Linked DNA regions of Mus musculus. The protein of the gene in region 1 interacts with the protein of each later gene in a pairwise test. Links are inferred from orthologs where the notes say so. Each region holds a gene or a part of one and is shown in the gene's direction. Other genes may lie near its edges. The genes, in order: Akap9 and Pkn1.

Region 1 (11,901 bases):
GGCCAGTGCCATGTGTGTGTGACAGTTCAGTCTCTGTGAGCCCCTATGGACCCAGGTTAGTTGATCCTATAGGTTTTCTTGTGGTGTCCTTCAGTCCTTTCTCTCCCTGCCCTTCCATAGGACTCTCCAAGCTCCACCGTATGTTTGGCTGTGGGTATCTGTATCTGTTTCCGTTGGTGCTGGGCAAAGCCTCTCAGATGGCAGTCATGCTGGGCTAGTACAGCAGAATATCATTCCTTGTGTCAGGGGTAGTCTCTCTCTCATGGCATGGATCTCAAGCTGGACCAGTCATTGGTTGGCCCTCTCCTAAATCTCTGTTGCATCCTTACCCCTGAACATCTTGTAGGCAGGACAAATTATTGGTGGAATATTTTGTGTTTGGGTTCGTGTCCCAGTCCCTCTATTGGATGTCTTGCCTGATTAGAGGAGATGGCCGTTTCCAGTTCCTTATCCCCCATTGCCAGGAGTCTTAGCTAGTGCCACCCTCATAGATTTCTGGGAGTTTCCATTATCCTAGGTTTCTAGCTTTTCCTGTTGAGGTCCCCTCCTCCCACTAGTTGCAGTTCTCCTCCAGGACTCTCTCCCTCTGTCTCCTCCTACTTGGTCCCTCCTGCTCCCCTCCTTCAGCAAGTGTTGTTGGACTCCCATGTATCATGCTTCACTCTGCTTCATCCCCACCCTCATTGCCTTCTCATGCTTCCAGGCCACCCTTCAGCTCTTCCTTCCCACCCCACAAACAGTGCCTTTGTGTTTTAATTTTATGTTCATTTCATGACCTCTCTCCCTCTCTAAAGATGGCTTCCTCCCCTATGCCATGATTCTTCTTTGCTTATTATGACACTGTGGAACATTTGTTTCTTGTGCCTTTGTATGTAAGTTCTTAAATTTTTAAAAAATATATTGAAAAGGTAGCATAGGAATATATATTATAGGAATATATACTATAGGAATATATATACTATAGGAATATATACATATTGAAGATTGTCATTTGGAGAAATGTACTCTGCTTTATATTTAGCCAGAGAAGATTGTGTCTATATCCTTGATGCAATTTACTACCACCATCTACTGGGTAAAAATTCTGTCTTCAGTTGCCAAATGCTTCCATGTTGCTGTTACCAAAAAAGTCATGGTCATATACTTTAAAAGTATTTTTAATATTAATGTGTTCATCTTAAATTATATTTTCCCTTCAAGGATCTGAAATTTTCACTTGAGGATCAGAAACGGAGAAATACACAGTTAAACCTCCTTTTGGAACAACAGAAGCAGCTACTAAATGAATCTCAGCAGAAAATAGAGTCACAGAAAATGTTGCATGATGCCCAGTTATCAGAAGAACAAGGCCGCAACTTAGGGCTTCAAGCTCTCCTGGAGTCAGAGCAAGTTAGGATTCAGGAGATGAAGAGCACACTAGACAAGGAACGGGAGCTGTATGCCCAGTTGCAGAGCCGTGAAGATGGCGGGCAGCCCCCGCCAGCCTTGCCTTCTGAGGACCTACTTAAAGAGCTACAGAAACAACTGGAGGAAAAACACAGCCGCATAGTAGAACTGTTAAGTGAAACTGAAAAATATAAACTAGATTCCTTGCAAACAAGGCAACAGATGGAAAAGGACAGGCAGGTTCATCAGAAGACACTGCAGACAGAACAGGAGGCAAACACCCAGGGCCAAAAGAAAATGCAGGAGCTGCAGTCCAAAGTGGAAGAGCTGCAGCGCCAGCTCCAGGAGAAAAGGCAGCAGGTGTACAAGCTAGACCTGGAGGGAAAGCGACTGCAAGGGCTTATGCAGGAATTCCAAAAGCAGGAGCTGGAGCCGGAGGAGAAACCGGGAAGCAGAGGCCTTGTGGATCAGAATCTGAATGAGGTCATTTTTTGTTGCTTTTACAGTATTTATGAGGTGGTATTAAATTTTGTTTCCTTTACAGTATTTCTGAGGCAGTATTTATGGCTCAGTGGGCTATCTGCAGGCCTGAGTTCATGTTAAGGAAAGAGCCAGTTCCACAAAACTGTGTGTGACATCCAAATCTGCCCTATGGCATTGCTACACTCACATATTTATGCACACACACAATGATAAGGGTTTTTTATAGTTATGAGTAATTTTAAAATTTTACATACCCTTAATGTTTTAAAATATTTGTAAACTTCAAATGGTGTTATTGAGTTACTTAAATAGTTATGTTTAAGTCATCCCAAAATTGTGTCTATAGAATTTTATCTGGAATGTGGGTGGTTTGTTTCCTAGGGAAGGAAAATGAACTCCTGCTCATTTGGGAGTCTTTCTTTCTCTCTCTGAAATTGTCAGCCAGCCACCTGGAACTTCACTGATGATCGGACTAGAAATTGGGTTCTTCAACAGAAAATGGGAGAGGCCAAAGACAGGAACTTCACAAAGTTGATTGAAATAAACGGAGGAGAACTTGACCATAATCATGACTTGGAAATGATCAGACAGACACTCCAGCATGTGGCTTCAAAACTTCAGCATGTAGCCCAGAAAGCCTGCAGCAGGTTAGATTTTCTCCTGTGGGGTACAAATGACACACTTGACAGATCAGCTAAGCGTGACAAAATGTTAAATTTTGGTTTTGTTTTGTTTTGTTGAGACAAGGTCTTACAATGTAGCCCTGGGTGGCCTAGAGTTTACTCTGTAGACCAGGTTGGCCTCAAGCATGCAGAGAAATCTGCCATCTAGCACCACATGCATAACAAAGAAGAGATGCTTTAGAGATAACATGCGTCTACATTAGATGGTGTTCCTGTAGCAGAAATTACCCATCTGGAAACAGCTAACACCTTGAACCAGAAAAGTCAAGTGACCAAGGACCTCTCGCTGCTGGTGTGTTAGTGAGACAGAGCAGCCCACGCCTAAGTGTGTGTAGGAGTGTCATTGGGAGGTCTGTTTTCACTTTTTATCTTTTTCTTAAAGGCTGCAGTTTGAAACAGCCGGTGATGATGCATTTATTTGGATTCAGGAGAATATTGATGGAATTATTTTGCAACTACAGAAACTAACTGGCCAGCCAGGTGATGAGGTAAAACTTTTAAACGTTCCTTGTAATGAGAACAAAGCTCAAATACATTATGAACTGCTTGAAAATTACCAGACTATTTTGTAAGAGTTTTGATTTCGTTTTTTATTTGAAATACAGTGCTGCTTCCCCCCGCCCCCCAGAGGTGTTGAGATTAAGGGGGAATCACATTCGTTATTGTTGCTATGTAATTAGTCTCTTACACAGTCAAGGCTTCTTAAGAGGGTAACCTGGCTTCCCTGTCCTATCTCCATGAGCTTAGAATCCTACTGGCGCCTTTCTTCACAGGTGACTGCTCTGTGGAACTTTTCACTCCCTCTTTGTACATTTGACACTTGTTTGGCTTTTTTAACTTTTTGGCTATTTGAGACAGGTTCTCTCTGTGTGGCCCTGGCTGTCCTAGAACCGGCTGTATAGACCAGGCTGTCTCCAAGCTCATAGAGTTCAGGTTGCCTCTGCCTCCTGAGCCTTGGGATTAAAAGCTTGCACCACCAAGCCCAGCTGTATTTTGCTTTCTTAAATCCTGTTTTCCTTGTCTTCTGTATTTCTGCTCTCTCTTAACCTGCTGTCAGCCAGTCCTGTCTGTCCTTTCTCTTGCTTCTGTAGTCTTGCTTTTCTCTTAACTACAAGTGTGAAACCTCCCATTTCCCACGGCATGGACTCTCTTGGCTTGGTGAGCAGTTGCTGTGTCCCAGGCACTGCTCGGGGTCCTGGGATTCCTGTAGCAGAGTGAGCAGAGTCCTACCCTTGTGCCGTGCTTTGTGCTGTGCACTGTGTGCTGTTGCTGTGTGCCGTTGCTGTGTGCTGTGCGCTGTGCACTGTGTGCTGTACGCTGTGCACTGTGTGCCGTTGCTGTTGCTGTGTGCTGTGCACTGTGTGCTGTTGCTGTGTGCCGTTGCTGTGTGCTGTGCGCTGTGCACTGTGTGCTGTATGCTGTGCACTGTGTGCCGTTGCTGTTGCTGTGTGCTGTGCACTATGTGCTGTGCACTGTGTGCCGTTGCTGTGTGCTGTGCGCTGTGCACTGTGTGCCGTTGCTGTGTGCCGGTGCTGTGTGCTGTGCACTGTGTGCTGTTGCTGTGTGCTGCAGCTGTTCTGCTGTAGCGCCGTGACCTGTGCAGAGGAGTGTGTCCAGTGAGTTACTGGGGACACTCTCCAGTGGTGATCCCTTAGGAGCCTCACACACACGTTCATACTGAACGTTGTCTTCCCTTCCCCTCCCTGACCTCCTTCCCCTTCCTGTTTCTGTTATCACTCAGTTTGGAAAGCTGGGAGTCACCACAATCCATCTTCCTTCTCCCTTCCCTGTATGCATGAGCAGACAGAAGCCATGTAAATGTCCATTCATGTGCCATTTACTCTCTGTCCCTGCCTCAGTATTTCCTGTGTAAACCGTTACAACTTTCTAACAGAACTGTATCTTTCCCTAAGCTGCTCTGCCAAGTACACGGCTGCCAGAGGAATGTTTGTAAACATGTCAGCTTTGTGCTGGCACCTCCTAAAGTCACCTTGGCTCTCTGTTGCCGTGCTTAGGCCTGACATAGCATGCAGCAACATTTAGTCTGACAAAGTGCTGCTAGTTCCTTTAAAGCAGCACACTCTTGCCTGTGCCTCTGTCCCTCTGTCTTGCTGTGTGTGTGTGTCCTGCTTCCTGTGCCCTCCCCAGCTGTTTGCCTGCTTGGCACATTCTCACTATTACCAAGCACCAGTTCATGGAGTCCCTGTCCCCTGTCAGCACCTGTTAGTGTTTACAGGAGTTCCTCGTGTGTGTATGTGTGTGTTTGTCTGTCTGTCTGTCTGTCTGTCTATATAACCTTGTGCCATTGTTTTTCCAGCACAGCTTAGGACCCCCCAGTTCTTCCTGTGGCTCCTTAACTGAAAGCCTAATGAGACAAAATACTGAGTTAACAAGACTTATCAACCAACTAACAGAAGAAAAGAACACCTTACGGAGCATTGTCATAAAGCTGGAGGAGCTGAACAGGTGCTACTGGCACACAGGAGCCAGCAGAGACTGTGTACGTCTGCTTTTAGAAATAACTCAAAGCTAGGGGCTTCTCTCTAGTTTTACCTTTTAACCATAGTCCAAAAATATCATGTACAAATCTTATTAGGATATGTAGAAAGTATTATATAAGATGACAATAATAATAAAAATACCTATGACTGAGGACAGCCTCCCCACCATACTCTGAGTTCTATACATACAGAATGGTTCATCTGCATCCCGCCTTCTACATGAGAATAACCAAGTCAAATCAATCTAAGATATAAACATGTGTTTCCTAAACACATATATATTGAAAGATGGTCAAAATACTGATTCTTTTTCTCTTTTTTTTTTTTTTTTTTTGATGATCTATTTATTATATGTAAGTACACTGTAGCTGTCTTCAGACACTCCAGAAGAGGGCATCAGATCTCATTACAGATGGTTGTGAGCCACCATGTGGTTGCTGGGATTTGAACTCTGGACCTTTGGAAGAGCAGTTGGTTGCTCTTACCCTCTGAGCCATCTTACCAGCTGATTCTTTTTCTCATCAGTTACTATTTACTATGTGTATGACCAAGTGAAAGATAATGTTAATCTGGGCATGGTGATACATGCCTTTAATCCCAGCACTAACTCGTAAAAGTAGACAGATAGCTGTGAATTCAAAGCTAATCTGGTCTTCATTATCAAATCTCTGACTAGCAAGGAAGGGTTAATGTTCCTTCACCAGTTAGATCCTGTCTGGGGGGGGGGGGGGAGGCTGTTAAGTTATATATATTTCAAACTAATAAGGTAGTCTCTGGATTTAAATTTGTTTTAAAGCTAAAAAAAAAAAGTTAGTCTCTGTATTTACCCTTATGTTTAAAGGTAGAAAGATTGGCAAAACAACTACATAGTCAAGTAAATAGCTTATTCGTGTGGCTAGCCTGAGAGTCACTCCCTCACATCCATTCTGTCTCAGTGATGTGTAAGAATGAACACCTAGACCCAGACAGTGTGATTGTAACTGTGAGCTTCCCTGTGGGGTTGGAAGGCCAAGGCTCCGCAATCCGTTGTGATTTAATGTGGTCATCTTTTTGAAGATTATCTGATAGGCCATGTCTCTGCAGTGTTCTAGGTTCTCATTTATTGATCCAGCTGACATCGAAGCCATCATTGCTTCAGAAAAGGAAGTCTGGAACAGAGAAAAGTTATCTCTTCAGAAAGCCTTGAAGAGGGCAGAAGCAAAAGTGTACAAGCTAAAAGCTGAACTACGAAACGATGCCTTGCTTCGGAATCTGGGCCCTGACACTGATCATGCTGCCCTGCAGGTAGGCGGTGTCTTGCATGCGTGTGGATCCCTCTTGCTGACCCTAACTGAGCAGACCACAGAACGCTAAGTGCTTGCTCAGTCTGTGTCCCTGCGCATCTTTTCAGTCTGGCACAGTTGCAGTGTCTCTGCCTGTAGAGAGGCATTCATAGAACTGGAACACACTCAGTTCTGCTTGTCTTGCTGTCAGCCATGTGGCCCTCATCCCGGAGTCTTATCCCCTATAGACAACCAGAAGTCTTCTCTTTCAGTTCCCTAAGCAGAGCACGACTGTCCACGGAAGGCATTGCACCCTGTGTAATGTGGAGGATGGATGCTGTGGTAAAGCTGCCTTGATCAGTTAGCTTAAGTCCACAGAGGAGAGGAAGACAAGAGGGACAGACAGACAACTATGGGGTGGACACAGAGGGACAGACATTATGCAGTGGACAGAGGGACAGACAGACAACTATGGAGTGGACACAGATGGACAGACAGACAACTATAGGGTGGACATAGGGGGACAGACAGACAGCTATGGAGTAGACACAAAGGGACAGACAGACAACTACACGGTGGACACAGAGGGACAGAGAGAAACTTATTTAACAAGTTAAATGGATGAATGACTAATTTTTTAAAAATGAAGCCAATATATATATTTTTTTAAAGATTTATTTATTTTATTTATATGAGTACACTGTTGCTTTCTTCAAACACAACAGAAGTAGGTATCAGATCTCGTTACAGATGGTTGTGAGCTACCATGTGGTTGCTGGGAATTAAACTCGACCTCTGGAAGAGCAGTCAGTGCTCTTAACCACTGAGACATTTCTCCAACCTGAAGTTGATATTTTATAAACATACACAATGACAGAAATATTTGCAATAAATGTGATTGAAGGGCTAACCCCCCAAATCAGTGCAAACACAACTCCGACTAGAAGTTACACTTCAAAGGCTGTGTCTCTCCTTGTCAGCTGGGCTGTTAAAGAAGACAGCAGCCTGTCGTGTGGCCTAAGACTTTCTCCTTTCCTCTAGGTAGTCTTCCTCTGTAGAACAGCTCAAATGACTTCTCACTGATGTCTTTGTTCTTTTCTTCATTAACTATAGAAAATTTATAATAAATACTTGAGAGCTTCAAGTTTCCGGAAAGCTCTCATATATCAGAAAAAATACCTGCTGCTGCTCCTGGGGGGATTCCAGGAGTGTGAAGACGTCACCCTGGGGGTTCTTGCCCGAATGGGGGGACACCTAGCCTTGAAAGATTCCAAGACCATCACCAACCACCCGAAGGCATTCAGCAGGTTTCGCTCCGCCGTCAGAGTGTCCATTGCGATTTCAAGGTAAAGTCTTAAAGAACACTCACTTTGGTCATAAGCCAGCTCGCTAGGGAGATGCATGTGAGGTAGACACTTTAGAACTGAGCACTACTTCTTCCTCTCCAGGTTCTCACCCTGGCAGCAGCATCTCTGTTCTGTGTAAACCCTAGACAATGACTTTCCAGGTCTAAGTACCCGCTCATGCCGGGCCCAGTCCACGTTGTCCTTCCAAAATTCATCCAAATTAACTTAGCTGGCACACATAGATTATACAATGAAAGGATGTTTTTGAAAAAATACTGCTAAGACTGGTATATGTTTATTTTCTTCACTGTTAAAATCAGCTACACAGTGCCCAGTTGCGGAATGCCCTGGTTTAAGTCTGCTCGGGCAGGGATTGGACTCTCAGTGCCCCCCTTTTCTTCCCTAGCAGTAGTCCAGCCTGGGCACTTGACATTGGTGCTGCTAGTGGCTGCAGAGAATGGAGACCCAGCTGTCCCCCACGCCTGGCCTGCTTTGGGTTGTGCTTCAAAATCCCCTTTTTTCTCTTCACAACCAGAGTCTCAAAGAAATCTTGGTTTTTAAAAAGTTGTGCCAGTCGGTAACATCTGCTACTGCTTCAGAGCGGGGCAGTTTCTTCTCCTCTTTTCCTTTTCCTCTTTTTAACTTCTACTTTGTGTGGACTGGTGTCATGCCCATGTATATATCTGTGTACCACATGTGTGCCTGGAGCCTGCGGAGGCCAGAAGAGGATGTCAGATCCCCTGGGTGCCAAGTGGGTACCGAGAATCAGATGAGGCTCATCCGCAAGAGCAGCCGCTGCTTGTCACCTCTGCGCGCTCTCTCTCTTTCTCTCTCTCTCTCTCTCTCTCTCTCTCTCTCTCTCTCTCTCTCTCTCTCCAGCCCCTACTTGGTAATGTTGGAACGGCTTCCAGTTAAAATCCTGTGCCATATTTTCCAAAGAAAACTAAGTTAAAACCTGGAGGCTGTTCAGAGACTACCGTCAAGGAATTCAGTTCACAGATGAGGCAGGAAGAGGGAAAAGCTGAGGCAACACACCCTACAGGCCATGGCAGCCAGGCAGAAAGGAGATGAGCCTCTTTCAGTCAGGACAGCTCTGCACTGGAGCCTGGGTTTATCTTACTGTTGGCCTCTGCCCTGCCTGCCTCTTTGGTCCTCACGTGAAGTTGGCCTCAAGCCCCACTGCTCCTTTATCACCTTGTACAGGGTAAAATAGGGCAAGCCCAGTGGGTACATTAATAGACAACACCCTTCTACTGGAGAGAGTACAGTGCATAGGCTTCAGAGACCTGGAACAGGCTTCGGTGGTGACAGGAGTCAGCCTGTAATGCAAAGTTCAGAAGGCTCCCTGAAGGAGAAAAGCTACTATCAAGCCCTCACCTCCCTCCTTTAAAGGCATGGATTGAGATGGGGTCTCTTGTCACTCTGGCTGTCCTGGAATTATGTAGACCAGGTTGGTCTTAAACTCAGAGATCTGCCCACCTCTGCCTACCGAGTTCTGGAAGTAAAAGAGTTTCCTAGCATTCCTGGCTCATTCCTTTCACTTTGCCCTGCTATAGGCACATGGTATTTTGATCCTCCTTAAACTGGACTCTGAAATTGGCATTAACAACTTACAACTGGTACTCCAAAAAGTTCCACAGCCCAGGGCAGAATGGGCAGTCAGCAAGGAATTCAAATTTCTTTTGAAACCACCACTGTTTCTGTTCCTGATGACAGGGTCTAACACTCCCCAGTTTCCCTGGCCTCCTGTTACTGCCTGTCGAAATTTGTTCTTTTATCATCTACCTGATCACCTTTCTTTCCTCTTTCTGTTACCTCCATCCTCTCGTTGTCCACTGTTTTTCTGTCCATTTTTGCCCCACATCCTCTTCTGCTCCACTTATTAGAGACACTGGCGTGGCCTCCTGGGGCATGAAGGGAGGCCGTGCCCTGCACTGTACTTGGAGAATTATGTGTCATTTAGCTGAGGTGGTCTTGTGACTGTGCTGAAGGGTTTGTGTTCATAATTAAATGGCATGGTTTTGTGGGATGTCGTGCTTATATTTATGACTTTGCTTTGAGATTTTATGTTTGGCTCTTTTAGAATGAAATTTTTGGTGCGGCGGTGGCAGCAAGTGACAAGTACTAGCTCCATCAATATTAACAGGGATGGATTTGGACTGAGTCCAGGTAAAGTAAAAAAGGAAAATGGCATAATTTCTGTGTATGACTCTGAAATTGCTATGTGAGTAATAGCTGTCAAATAATTCTAATGTTGGTGTTGTCTAAAGATACAAAAACCGTGTAGCTCTTCTGCTCTTAATTCTTTGTGTTTATTACATAGCTACTTTGTGGGTTGTTCTCTCTGTCTGCTAACAGTATCTTCTGTGGCTCAGCTTAGCTTCTCTCGGCTCAGCTGTCACCAATGGTCTTCTCAGTCGGCTAGCCCAATTCACTTTCACCTGTCTCTTATTTTCAATCTCATCTCTCCCCTCCCCTCCCCTCCTCACATTGCTGTCTCCTGGACCCTACTTCTGCCTACTACTACTTTCCCCACCTCCTTTCTCATTCTCTTTCTCAGACTCTGCTAGCTTTTATATCCACTCCTGTTCCCAGAAGTCCAATAGCCAACCACCACTGAAGAGCATAGATCACCTAAAATAGTTCATACTACATTTTCTCCCATTTGTTTTAGTTACTAATTATGCAGTTTTGAAGCTGCTTCTCAGTCCTTCCCAATGTCTCTTCCAGAGTTCTCAGGTGTGTGATGTGATCTGTCTGTTGATCTCTCAAGAACACATCCACAAAAGAACCTAACAGGGATGCTTCTCTTTCCTGTAATTTGGGTACTGCTTCTTGAACTGTGTTTAGGATATTAGCTGTTAATTTCTTCCAAATAGTTGTTACAGGTTCTTTACCAATCTTTATTAATTACTCATAATGGCATAATTATAAGGCACTATGATTTCTCATTGAAGTCTCTTAATCTCTGTCCCAGCTCTGTGAACCTTTGCCTGTAGTGCTGCTCCTGGGCCTCTGGCTGCTCTGCAGGTGGATGGCTTTGTATAGCAGGAGACCGAAGTTCTCCTCCTCATGGCCTGTCAGTCGCTTAGGTGCTGAACCTTTCTTGTCCCGGCGTTTCTGGCCAGCTGGGGAAGGTCTGGTTCTCTTCTTTCCTCTTTTTGGTCATTGTCCATGGTTTTCAGAAGACCTCCCATGCTCAAATCTGAGCTTTATTAGTTTGATGGTATCCACATCTTTTTGTTTCCTATAAAAATAAAAATAAGTCTACACCCCAAGTGCAATACATTCACTGACTTATATTCTGATGTTAACACATCCTTATAGTATACAGGCTGATTTAATTCCACATTTTTTTCTATAACCCAGTTGTCAGCCACTGTTGTTCCTTTCACATTAATGTTCAGAAAATTTAAAGTTAACAGCACTAGTCTATCCTTCTGAGTCTTTATTCTTCAATTTTGTTTTATAAGCATTTCTTTTAAGATGCGACTAGATCTTTAAACAATTGCTTGTCCTGTAGGATTGTGTAGTATACCTATAATATGCCTGTGATTTATATTATAATATACAAAGACTTGCTTCATTTTATTGGATACATGTGCAGGGATATTGTCAGTCTTAATTTGTTCAGGTATCCCCACAATAGCCATTACTTCTAGTAAATATATAATCACAGAATCAACCTTTTCAGAAATCAAAGCAGTTGCCCATTAAAAGCCTGTGTATGTATGGGGTAAAAACTTTAGTTTTCCAAATTCTGCAAAATGAAACACTTCCATATGCCAGACTTCATTTCTTGTGGTACCCTTGGGGTTACTTCCAGTGGATAATGGGGTTTGGTTATACAGAGAACAAGTAGGGCATTTTCTTATAATTTCCTTGGCTTGTTGCCAAGTGATAGAAATTTTTTTCTTTAAACCTTTATTGTTAACTTGGTTTTTTTTTATGAACTATTGATGCTTCTAACATATTTCCTATTAATAATTGGTCAATTTCTTCATTTCCTTGGGCTAATGGACCTAGCAAGACTATATGAGACTGAATATGGGTGATATATAATGGATATTTTCTATATCTGATTGCCTGTTGCACTTGTATAAATAATGTTAATTCTTAACTATCAGGAATAAATTCAGTAGTTTCTATATGTGGAACAATTCTTTCTGCATATTGAGAGCCAGTAATTAAGAGGTTCAGGAAAATCTAATAGAACCATATGAATTGCATAGAACTCTAA
Region 2 (11,901 bases), on another chromosome or scaffold:
TTGCTCTTGAGGTACAGAGCTTGTGTGTGCTACCAAGCTTCACCCTCTGATATCACCACCACTACCATTACTTTTATTTATTTGTTATTTTTAATTATATATGGTGGGGGGGTATGTACACATGCCCACAGAAGCCAGAGAGGTCTGATCCACCCAGAACTGAAGTTACAGGCATCTGTGAGCCATTTGTCAGGGGTACCTCGAACTCAGAAATCCGCCTGCCTCTGCCTCCCAAGTGCTGGGATTAAAGGCGAGCGCCACCATGCCCGGTGATATATTTTTTTTTTAGAGCAGTTTTAGGATCATGGCAAAATCCAGGGGGAAATAGAATCTCATATGTATCTTGATCCTGATATAAACAGCCTTGTAACTGCTATCTCTGACAGTTGAGATTTAGTAAATAGTTGCGGGCTGCTGTTTGGGGCCACTCAGGGTTGTTTCTTCCTGGTGTTGGCATCAGGGAGCGACTACTAAGCCAGGTGGGCTCCCTAGGCCTCTGCTGTGAGCAGTCAGGGTGGACATCTGGGTAGGAGGAAGCAGGAAGTTGATGCTGCCTGTGTACCGGAAGCATGCATGCAGCGTTTGTGTGTGTGTGTGTGTGTGTGTGTGTGTGTGTGTGTGTGTGTGTGTGTGTGTGCGTGCGCGTGCGTGCGCGCACACACACGTTTTCTCTCTCTCTCTCTCTCCCCTACAGAACTTGCTGTTCTGATACTTAAGGGGAAGTTGGGGACAAGGGACAAGTGGGAGGGTCTCTCAGTAGTGACATGAACACGCATTAGCAGGGCTGAGGGCCTGAAGAACCTGAGGGCCTGAGGTGGTGCATCTAAAAAGAAGTGTCAGCATGTACAAGCCCTTTACCACACACACAACACACACACACACACACACACACACACACACACACACACTCTCACACACATACAGTTGCACGTAGGCATGCACATGTGTATGAGCTTGTGGGCTATGGCCACTTGGCAGGTGGAGGGTTTGTGAGTAGCTTCCAAGGGACGAAAACTAGCACCCAAAGCTGTTTGTTTATCAGGGTGTGTGCAGGCAGGTGTGGGAGTGTGCATGTTTATGAAGCTGTGTCCTACCTCCATGCTGATACCGATGGGAGCAGTATGTGTGAGACTGCTCTGCATTCCTGAGCCTGGGTCCCAGACATACACCTGCAGGCGGCCGTGTGTGAATTAGCATTCTGTGCACACACTGAGCCAGGCACAGACCTGCAGAGCTAGACGCGCACACCTTTGGGAACTTATGTTCTACCTACACATTCGTGCAGGTGGGGACTGGTCTAGTCTGCTTTCCGTCACTGTGATAAAAGACTGACCAAAAGCAACTTGGGGAGGAAAGGGTTGGTTTGGTTTTATAAATTATAGTCCATCATGGAATGAAGTCAGGGCTGGAGCTCAAGACAGAAGCTTAAAGCAAAACCACAGAGGAGCACTGCTCACTGGCTCACTTCCTCTGGCTTGCTCAGCTTCTTTTCTTATCCCAGGTCCACCTGCCCAGGATGGCACTGCCCACAGGGAGCTGGGCTCTCCCACATCAGTTAGCAATGAAGAAAATATCCCATAGACACGCCCACAGGCCAATCCGACAGAGGCAATTCCTCAATTGAGGTGTGCAAATCTCACACTCGCAGAGCTGGAACTCTGACCACACCTATAAGACTGTGGTCCACACACATGCTGTGTACCACACAATATCCTGCCTGCTACATAATATACTGTGGATGTGTGTATCCAATGTGTCAGGCATTGAGGACTGTTTCTCCCTGGCTTGTCTCCAGAGAAGCAGGCATGGCCATTTAGGGGTTGATGTGGGAAGAACCTCTTCCATGGCACACACCCTTAATCCCAGTACCTGGGATATAGAAGCAGATATATGAGCTCTAAGCCACCCTGGTCTGCATAGTGAATTCCAGGTCAGCCAGAACTACATAGAGAGACCCTGACTCAAAAACAAAACAGAACAACTCCCAACCCCAAACAAAAACAACCAAAAAACTTGCCCTAGAGCTGGCCTGGCGCAGAGGATGCTGGGAACTGGAAGGGAAGAGGAAGTGGCAGTCCAGAGGCCCTGGCAGGGCTGAGGTTCAGGAAGAGGGCGAGGCTCTTAGACCAGACCTACGACCCAGATGGCAGCTGATCCCCCTTTGGATTCGGAGCTGGAGGTAGGGCTGGGATCTCCTCAGCATGGACGAAGGAGACGTGGGGTCACATGGGGTGGCAGAAATTGAGGTTCTGTTCTGGGTGCCTCTCGATTGGCGACTAAGCATAGGAAGGAGGAAGGGAACTGGTGATATCTCTCCAGGTTGGGGGGTGGTGAAACTTGGGTGCTGTGTCAGCGCTCAGCTTTGGGAGATGTGGGAGGAGATGAGCTCTGCTCTTTGGAGTACCAGATATAGAAGATAACAAAGCAAGACCATATAGTTTGGGAATGTAGATGAGAGACGTCTGGATATGTTTCTAAGGACAGCAAAAGAAACAGTAGCCTGCTCTGGGACTTCCTGGTTAGGAATGCAGGACACCAGGAGAGAAAGGGGGTCATCTGACCCTTCTGGAAGAACCCCATTGCATAGGTAACAAATTAAGGGAGACAGGCCATACCTGTGGGGACCCTGGTGTGCACACAGGGAAGGAAGGAGACTTGTGCTTGGCCTGGTCTTCACCTTCCTGTTTTCTTATTGATATTATTTTCTTGTTATGTGTATGTGTCTGTGGTGTTATGTCCATATGCACACCAGTGCCTGCTGAGGCTAGAGGCATTGCGTCCCCCTGGATTTGGAATTAGAGGCTGGAAACTGAATTCAGCTGCTCTGCCAGAGCACTATGTGTTTTTAGCTGCTGAGCCATTTCTCCAACCCCTGACTTATTTATTCATTTACTCATTCATCCATTGATTCATGCATCTATGTGTGTGTGGGAGGGGTGTCAGAGGACAACCTTTAGGAATTGATCATCTCCTTCCACTATGTAGATTCCTAGGAGATGAACTTAGGCAGGCTTGGCAGCAAGAGCCTTTACCCCTAAACCATCTCTCTGGCCAAGACATCCCATTTATGAGCGTCAGGCCTCTGTCCTTGGGATTTTGGGGTGGAGTAGGATAGGGTGGTGGTGGGTCAGGTGATCTGTGTTCTGGTGAGGCCACCTGCCCTCTAGCTTCTGACCTTGTGTGTGTGGTCCCTCCCCTACAGAGTGAGCCTCGAAGCTGGTCGCTGCTGGAACAGCTGGGTCTGGCTGGGGCTGACCTGGCAGCCCCCGGGGTGCAGCAACAGCTGGAGTTAGAGCGAGAGCGACTGAAGCGGGAGATACGGAAGGAGCTGAAGCTGAAGGAGGGCGCTGAGAACCTGAGGCGAGCCACCACTGACCTGGGCCGTAGCCTGGCCCCTGTGGAGCTGCTGCTGCGGGGCTCCGCTCGACGCCTAGACTTACTGCACCAGCAGCTGCAGGAGCTGCATGCACATGTGGTGCTGCCTGACCCTGCAGCTGGAAGCGGTGAGCAGAAAGCCTGGGAGCTGTGTTCTGTCAGGATACTGTCCTGGGTTCACAGAAGCCACAGGAGAGGCCAGGCTTACAGGGCCACTAGCACCTGGATGAATACAGTCACACCTGTTTCCCAGACCCCACTCAAAGCTGTCTTTGGCATTAGGAGTACCTAGATATAGACTCACCAGCATCCAGGTAACACCAGAGACCCACACTGTCACCAGATACCTAAGGACACCATTACAACTATTTTCAGACAACGACTGAGAAACATGCTATCACATGAGAATCCAGAAGCCCACAGTCACACTAACAGACACCCAAATACTGCACATCTGTCACCCTCATGGCTCCCTAAATCATTCCAATATGTAAAGAAGGAAGGAAAGAAGGAAGGAAGGAAAGTGGAGAACAAGTGAGTAACTTACCTGATGTCCCTCTGGCTTCTGTGTATACACATGTGCATGCACACATGTGTACTTGTACATAAAGAAAACCCACAACACAATTTATCATTGCCAGAGTTCAGTCACTTTATGTGTGTACATGCAGTAACAAAGCAATGGTTCCTTCATCTTGTACCTAAGATGGTCATGGTCACAGGGACACCAGAAGACACCCAGAGTTTATACTGTCACACACATGTTCAGAGAAGTACAGTCAATTATGCCACCTGGGCAACACAGCAAACCCGATTACGTGATTCCAGAGACAGGAGCACAATCTCGTCCAAACAGCGTCCAAGGTTTGCGTCCTGTCACTTATACCTAGAGAGACACACTAACTAACCCACAATGACACTAGAGCTCTCCCACTAGGTCACACCAACCTTGAGAGGTATCCCACCACTGTCCCATCCACAGCAGACTCTACCTACAGCCTACAGGCTCAGCCCCTCTACATATGGCTGTGTCAGCTTTTGGGGTCCAATACTGCTGGAGTTCAGCCAAGAGTCTCATAAGCCCTTTCTGCAGTTCCCCACCACTGCATCTCTCTTGTGTTACAGACCTCACCTCTGACAACGACAACAGCCAAGTCTCAAAACAATCCTAGAAACCCCTAGAGATCAGAACTGAGCTGTACCAACAAGAAGCAGTGTCATTGTAAGCTCACACATATACACTGTTACACCCACATCTAGGGTTCTACCACCAGTGGCCTACAGACATAATCACACACACACCAGTGGGCTTATACACCCTAAGGCAGATGGGGGCATTTTTTCCAGCTAACCCTGAAGACCTGCATACCTGGTCACTAACTCACTCTCCCTCATGCTGAAGCCCAGTCTGTCACTGAGAGCCAGATGTCTCCTGCCCGTGTACTGGCCCCTAGGCTCCTTTTCTGGATGAAGGTTTCCTATTGGCTGGGACAAAATCTCCCAGGTCTCCTGGGTACACTGAAGTGACCACTGTGTGATTCTCTTCTTTTCTTGTTTCCTCAGATGCTACCCAATCCCTTGCAGAGGGCAGCCCTATCTGCTCATCCACCAACCTGAGCAGAGTGGCTGGGCTGGAGAAGCAGCTGGCCATTGAGCTCAAGGTCAAACAGGGGGCAGAGAACATGATCCAGACCTATAGCAATGGCAGCAGCAAGGTGAGACCACAGTGCTCCAGAACCTTTCGTCACTGTGACGGACCGGAGGCTGTGTCTCTCCCGTGTGCTCCCTGCCTCTGACTTATCTACTCTGGGCATCATATTATTGCAGTACATGGCCATTTGTCTGTGGCTCTGCAGACACTTGCACAGAGATGTTCAGAGAGGTGAGGAGGATGTAGTTCCAGCTGGTACAAACTGGGCTATGAGTCCTCAGTCCAGTGGAGGTCCAGACTTTGTAGTTGAGAGCACTGAGGCTCAGAGAAGTGAAAGAGCAAGGCTGAGGTCAAAAGCTGAACTGGAGTGGCAACTTTGGAATTTTTGTTTCTTTACAAACTCAGAAAAAAGAATGTATTTTCATTTTAATCCAAGGTGTGGGATATGGGACTGCTTCTGACTGTCCACAGCAGCTGACTATGATTTGCCTCGTGCTCTAGCAGGGGCATGGTTTTGCCAGCTCCATATTGTTTCTGCAGTTGTGTAACACTTGAAATTCTGGGAACTTCTCAGAGGATATATAAATGCTACAGTCCTGATAGGTGGGTGTAGCTGGTGGTCATTCAGGGGGGATGGTTGCAGTTTGTTAGTAGTTGTACTCAAAGAAGAAAGGAGAAGAAAGAAATAAGACTCCAGGATTCCCCCTCCCTCCCTCTCCCCTCTATCCTTTCTCTCCTATCTAGTGATAGGGGTGAAACCAGGGGGATAATGGTTGGGGAAAAGAAGAACCCATAAAATAGCACAAGACAGGCAATAAGTGGTGCCCAAACATGGAAAGTGAAGGATAAAAATGGGAAATTAGAGAAAACAAACAGGGAATGGAGGAATGGATTTTGTTTTTTCAAGACACCAGCAAAAAATGTATTGTAGCTGTTGCCACTGGGATGTTTCCTGCTTTGCTCCCAAAGGGTTTTTTTTTTTTTTCTTCTTTTTCTTTTTTGTATATTTTGCTTTGAAAAAGGTTGAAGGACTGGCTGGGCAGCTGGAAAAGTTGCTAGTGGAAATGGAAGGGCCTGAGAAACAAACAAACATGACTGAAATGGAGAAAAGAAGGGGGCCACTCTGCTCTCTCTTCTGAAGGGTTGGAGTTGACCGTGCATGGGAGAGGTTGCGGATAGAGGTGGTGAGCACCAGGAAAGAGAGAAGAAAAGGCTCAGTCCTGAGAGCAGGAGTTTCCCTCAGGAGGAAAGACGGAAAGAAACTGTGCCCGAAGGCAGTCAGGTCAGAAACCGGCTGAGGAAGTGAGAGGACAAGCTGATGAACTGGTTAGAGAGAGAGAAGGGGTTAACCTCGAACCAGCTACAGCTCCAGAGATGGAGGAGGGGCAGCTTGGCCTTAGGAGATCACCACTAGTTAGTTGTACAGCATGGGCCTGCTGACGGTGTGGAAAAGGGTCATGGGGACATAGGATGGCATCCTCGAGGCATGATAGAGCTACAGTCTTTTAAAGGACTGTGACTTCTTAGGAATGCACTAGCTTTATATGAAACAAATTCTAAATAACTGTGCTACTCAAAATAGAATTATTCTCCAAGACTAGAAGGGATTGGTGACAGCTTAGACACCAGTCTGCAGTTGCCATGGTTAACATGGTGGGGGGAAGAAGCTGCAAATATTGGATCACGAAGTAGAACGAGGGGATGAATACAGTAAAAGACGAGGTGTTGGGTGAAGGGCGGTACTCTGATATACAAGAACAGATTCAATTTGATGATGTTACTATAGAACGTTGTCACTTAGTGGCTTTAAGAGCTTGGGACAGGGCTGGTGAGATGGCTCAGTGGGTAAGAGCACCCGACTGCTCTTACGAAGGTCAGAAGTTCAAATCCCAGCAACCACATGGTGGCTCACAACCATCCGTAATGAGATCTGACTCCTTCTTCTAGAGTGTCTGACACTCCCTTTTCTGGAGTGTCTGAGGACAGCTACAGTGTACTTACATATAATAAATAAATAAATAAATCTTAAAAAAAAAAAGAGCTTGGGACAAAGCTGAGGAGCCCAGGAGAAAGTCCACCTCATTTACAAAGATTATATACAAGGTTCTGAAGAGGCCTTCACTGATTTTTTTATTTTTTATTATTTTTATTATTATTTTTTTTTCTTTTTGGTTTTTTGAGACAGGGTTTCTCTGTGTAGCCCTGGCTGTCCTGGAACTCACTCTGTAGACCAGGCTGGCCTCGAACTCAGAAATCCACCTGCCTCTGCCTCCCGAGTGCTGGGATTAAAGGTGTGCACCACCACGCCCGGCTTATTTTTTATTTTTATTTTTTTTACAAAAATTAGTCTCAGCTGTGAACAAAGCCATATTAGACTATCAAGCAAGACAGGTGTTGATAGAGGACTTGGTTATGAAAATTTGAATACCAAATGTAAAAAAGTTATTAGACCATTAAAGGTTCAAGCAGTGCCTATAGATGATTGGATAAGGGATATGACCAATGTTGGATCTAACATGTGCCATGCTAATATAGTAGGTCAGGTTTAGCTATAGGTGTCCAATATCAAAATGCCTGGTACTTCAATTACAGGAAATTCAGTCATTTGCAAAGAGACTGTGACTAAGCCGCTAAAAGTCTTACATCTCAAAATGCCTGGTGCTAAATTGTGGGAAATATTGTCATTTGAAAAAAAATTGAATGAGGCATCTGTATAAGGAAATGTGTTTTCTAAATATAAACCAGAAGGAAGGTCCAGTCTCCAGGAGTGTGCAGGTGATGTGGCAAGAATTGCTGTTGGACTGATGAGTGTGTCGGACCAAGAGAGTTATCCAGGGCAGTTTCTAACTATCCAGAATTGGCCCTGCGGCCTATCTTGAGGCCACACAGAAAAAAAGTAGGAACAGTTTGCTTCTTGTCAGCCGGGAAATAACAAGCAGGCAGAAAAACCTCAATACTCAGCAAGAGAGAGTCACCAGGTTATAGGAAAAACCATGGAATTAAATCAACCGATATACTATAAGAACATCAGAGCGGAAGCCAGTGAGAGCTTTGCCTGGAGGATGCAGATGTGTTTATATTTCCACAGGGAAGCAAAAGCTGTGGGTCCCATCAGAACTGATCAAGATAGGAACCCAGCAGGAGAGGGCTCCTGAAAGTCTTGGCCACGGACCCGAAAAGCACTTATTTCATTGAAAATGTCTGTTTATAATCTCCCGCTACACACAGTTCATGGCTTAAAACAGAAGGGAGAAACGTAGTGACAGCTTTAGAGTTTTGGTTTCTTTAAAAACACAGAAATATTATAATCCCAGGAGTGGAATATGGGCTGCTCCAGACTGTCCACAGCAGCTGACTATGATTTGCCTCATGCTCTAGCAGGGGCACAGTTTTGCCAGCTGCAGATAGTTATTGCAATTGGTGACATTTGGAGTTCTGGGGACTTTTCAGAGGGTACATAAATCAGCACGGCCCCAGTCGGCAGGGTTGGCGGTTGTTGGTCATACAGGGGGTTGATTGCAGTTTGTTAGTAGTCGTGCTCAAAGGAGAAAGGAGAGAGAAATTAGACCCAAGGATCCCGATCCCTCTCTCTGTCCCTGTCCCTCCCCCTCTCTCTCCTCCTCCCCTTCCCTCTCCCTCTCTCCCTACTGTTTCTCTCCCTCCCCTCTCTCCCTCTTTCTCTCCTATCTAGTGATGGGGGTGAAACTGAGGGGATAAAGGGTGGAAAAAGAAGAACACATGAAGTAGCAAAGACCAGCTACACTGAGTTGTTGGGTAGCAGAGCTGGGACTGAAGCCCATGGACTGCCTGCCTCTGCACTGGCCCAGGAGGCTGGGACTATGTGTCCTTGCTCTTACCTGTTATGATGTGGACAGCAGCTCAGACTTGAGTTCCCACTCTGCCTGCCACCTTCCATGTCTGTCCCCAGGACCGGAAGCTGTTGTTGACAGCCCAGCAGATGCTGCAGGACAGTAAGACCAAGATTGACATCATCCGCATGCAGCTTCGAAGAGCGCTCCAGGCACTACAGGCTGGAGAGCTGGAGAGTCAGGCAGCTCCTGATGAAGCCCAAGGTAAGACCCTTCTTGGACATTGGCTGCCTGCATTCAGCCTTCCAGGGGTCCACCTGCAACCCACAATGCCTATTCCTGTCTATTTCTGGTTGTTTCATTCAAGGTTTGGGCTAGGATAGTTGTTGCCAAACGCCACCCTCAGGCCAAATCCACCTGATTTTTTTCCCTCCCTCCCTCCCTCCCTCCCTCCCTCCCTCCCTCCCTCCCTCCCTCCCTCCCTCCCTCCCTTTTGTCCTTCCTTCCTTTTGTTGTGGTTAGGGTGGAATCCAGGGACTCCTATAAACTAGGCCTGTGTTTTTATCGAACCGTGACCCTAACCCTTCAATGATAAAATCTATGTGGCACTGTAGTACTTGGCAAACCCTATCCCTTGTTTTTAGGGTTGTTTTAAGATTTATCTGTGCCTGTGTGCATGCATGTGTGCATGTGTGTGTGCAGGTGCCTCAGGAGCCAGAAGGAGGCATCAGATCTCTGGAACTAGAGTCTCGGGTGGTTGTGAGTCATATGCCGTGGGTCTGGGTAAGCAGACTCCTCTGGAAGAGCAGAAAGCTTTTCTATAATCAAGCCATCTCTCTAGCCCCACCCCTGGTTGCTTTCAGTTTAGTTTTGAGACAGGATCTTTCTATAATAGCCCTGCCTGTCCTGGATCTTAGTATGTAAACCAGGCTGGCCTGTGACTCACAGAGGCAGAGTTCTTCCTGCCTCTGCCTCCTGAGTGCTGGAATTAAGCGTTTGTGTTACCATATCGAGCCTGTGATTGCGTTTTGAGATAGGGTGTCATTATGTAGCTCTGGCTAGCCTTGATCTATGTAGACCAGGCTGCCTCTAACAGATCGCCTGTCTCTGCCTCCATCCCCCACTCTATCCCTTTCTTTTTCTTTTTCTTTTTTTCTTTTGAGAAAAGATTTCACCCTGTGGCCTAAGCCAGACTTGAACTCTCAGTCCTCCTGCCGTCACCTGTGAGTGTTTGGAACCACAGGCTTGCACTGCCAGGCCCACATGCCTTTGTAAAGAAAGTTTTACTGGCATGTTTTCATGTTTGGTTTTTACCACATGCACAGAGCTGAGAAGTGGTTACTGAGCCTTGGTGAGCCAGGCGTAGTGACACAGGCCTCTCATCCCACATGCCTTTAATCACAGCACGCAGGGGGCAGAAACAGGCACATCTTTGGGAGTTCCTGGCCAACCGGGGCTACATGGTGAGGCAAAATAGAATAGAATAGAAACAACCATCACAGATGCCAAGGGCTGTCCTACTCACACTGGCCCTGGACTTGTGGTAATTCTCCTGCCTCAGTCTCCCAGATGCTATGGTTGATTACAGGCATGTGCTAATATGACCAACATTTTTTCTCTTGTTTCATTTTCCCTGTTATTTGTTTTTGTGTATGTGTTGGCACAAGTGAATGAGTCACCTTTTGGGAGTCAGTTCTCTCTCTCCCTCTCTCCCTCTCCCTTTCCTTCTCTTCCCCTCCCTCCCTCCCTCTCTCTCCCTCCCCCTCCCCCTCTCCTTCTCTGCTGGCCTAGAACTCACTCTCTGATCCCAGCTTCTGTGTCCCAGGTATGCTCCCCTCCGTCCCACTCTTGCTTGTTTTTTGGGTTTCTTGTTTTATTTGTTGATGCTGCTTTTTAGTGCTGGGGATGGAATCAGGCCCTCCTACACTGCAGTCAGGTGATGTACCAGTGAGTTACATGGCTGGCTCTGTTACTGCTCTGAGGGGCCATGCTCCCTCATGCCCTCACCTAACCCAATACCATCTCACTGTGGATGAGCTCCATATGCACACTGGTCCAGGGCACACACATTCAGTTTCTTACTGTGTCCCTATTGGTGGAAGTTCAGTAGGATGCAGAGGGTACCAGTGTCACATGAAAGTCTGAGTTTTGTATTTGAATATATGAGTGATGGCTGCTGGGCATAGATAATATCTGCCCTTGTAGATTACAGTGTTCCCTTTGTCCTAAGCTAGCCCCTGGGAATGACAAGGACTGTTACAATATATCTGTCTCTAAGCCTAGGTCATCAGTGTGCCTGTGTGTCATTGCTGTGAAGGTACTTGGGTAACCATGTCCCTAGACATTATGGTGTTTGAGTAAGAGTGACTGGATTTGGGTGGAAGGTGACAGTCCCTTCCAGTACAAGAATCATGATATGCTTTGGTGGCCATGTATGGTGAGCCTGTGCCTGAACATGGTGGCATGTCTGGGATCAGGCTAGTCTGAAGGTTGTCTCATGGTCCCATGGCCCATGTCCATAGGAGATCCAGAACTGGGAGCCGTAGAGCTACGCATTGAGGAGCTACGACACCATTTTCGAGTGGAGCATGCAGTGGCAGAAGGTGCCAAGAATGTCCTGCGCCTGCTCAGTGGGGCAAAGGCCCCAGACCGCAAGGCAGTCAGCGAGGTGACATTGAGGGTTCTGCTAGGGGCGTGGTATTTAAGGGACATAGGAGAGATAGGGGGTTCACAGCAACAGGTCCTGGTGAGGGTGGAGCTGTAACTCAGATGGACTGCCGCTAGGTGTGAGCCTTAGTAGGACAGGGGAGAGACAGTCCGTGTCTAAGCTAGGAGCAGTGGAGAGTCCCAGGGAGACCTGAGGCCTAGCCCAGAGCCTGGCAGAGGTGGGGCCCATCAAGAAACTTTAATGAGGGTGGGGCCTCAGAGGGCCCTGGCTCCAGCAGGGGGCAAAGCCTAGTTTCCAGGCTCTACCTTATGGGTCTAAGTAGGTTTGAGGTTTAGGCCTGAGGAAGAAGTTGCTGGAGGTGGGTGGGTTCTTGGGGAAGGGTCTATGCCTGTCCTCAG

The links.
Region 2: the proteins of Akap9 (region 1) and Pkn1 interact in a two-hybrid assay, tested with the Homo sapiens proteins (2 studies listed by BioGRID). The link is inferred for Mus musculus from reciprocal best matches to the Homo sapiens genes AKAP9 and PKN1.

Annotation. Positions count from the first base shown.
Region 1 is NC_000071.6:4,062,871-4,074,771, forward strand, and holds part of Akap9 (A-kinase anchor protein 9), read left to right. Parts: intron 1-1,200; coding exon 1,201-1,869; intron 1,870-2,310; coding exon 2,311-2,516; intron 2,517-2,934; coding exon 2,935-3,040; intron 3,041-4,869; coding exon 4,870-5,052; intron 5,053-6,136; coding exon 6,137-6,337; intron 6,338-7,428; coding exon 7,429-7,661; intron 7,662-9,744; coding exon 9,745-9,830; intron 9,831-10,543; exon of another isoform or gene 10,544-10,908; intron 10,909-11,901. UniProt on the Homo sapiens protein: Scaffolding protein that assembles several protein kinases and phosphatases on the centrosome and Golgi apparatus. Required to maintain the integrity of the Golgi apparatus. Required for microtubule nucleation at the cis-side of the Golgi apparatus.
Region 2 is NC_000074.6:83,684,238-83,696,138, reverse strand, and holds part of Pkn1 (serine/threonine-protein kinase N1), read left to right. Parts: intron 1-2,022; exon of another isoform or gene 2,023-2,143; coding exon of another isoform or gene 2,144-2,179; intron 2,180-3,202; coding exon 3,203-3,503; intron 3,504-4,938; coding exon 4,939-5,090; intron 5,091-8,954; coding exon 8,955-9,099; intron 9,100-11,357; coding exon 11,358-11,503; intron 11,504-11,901. UniProt on the Homo sapiens protein: PKC-related serine/threonine-protein kinase involved in various processes such as regulation of the intermediate filaments of the actin cytoskeleton, cell migration, tumor cell invasion and transcription regulation.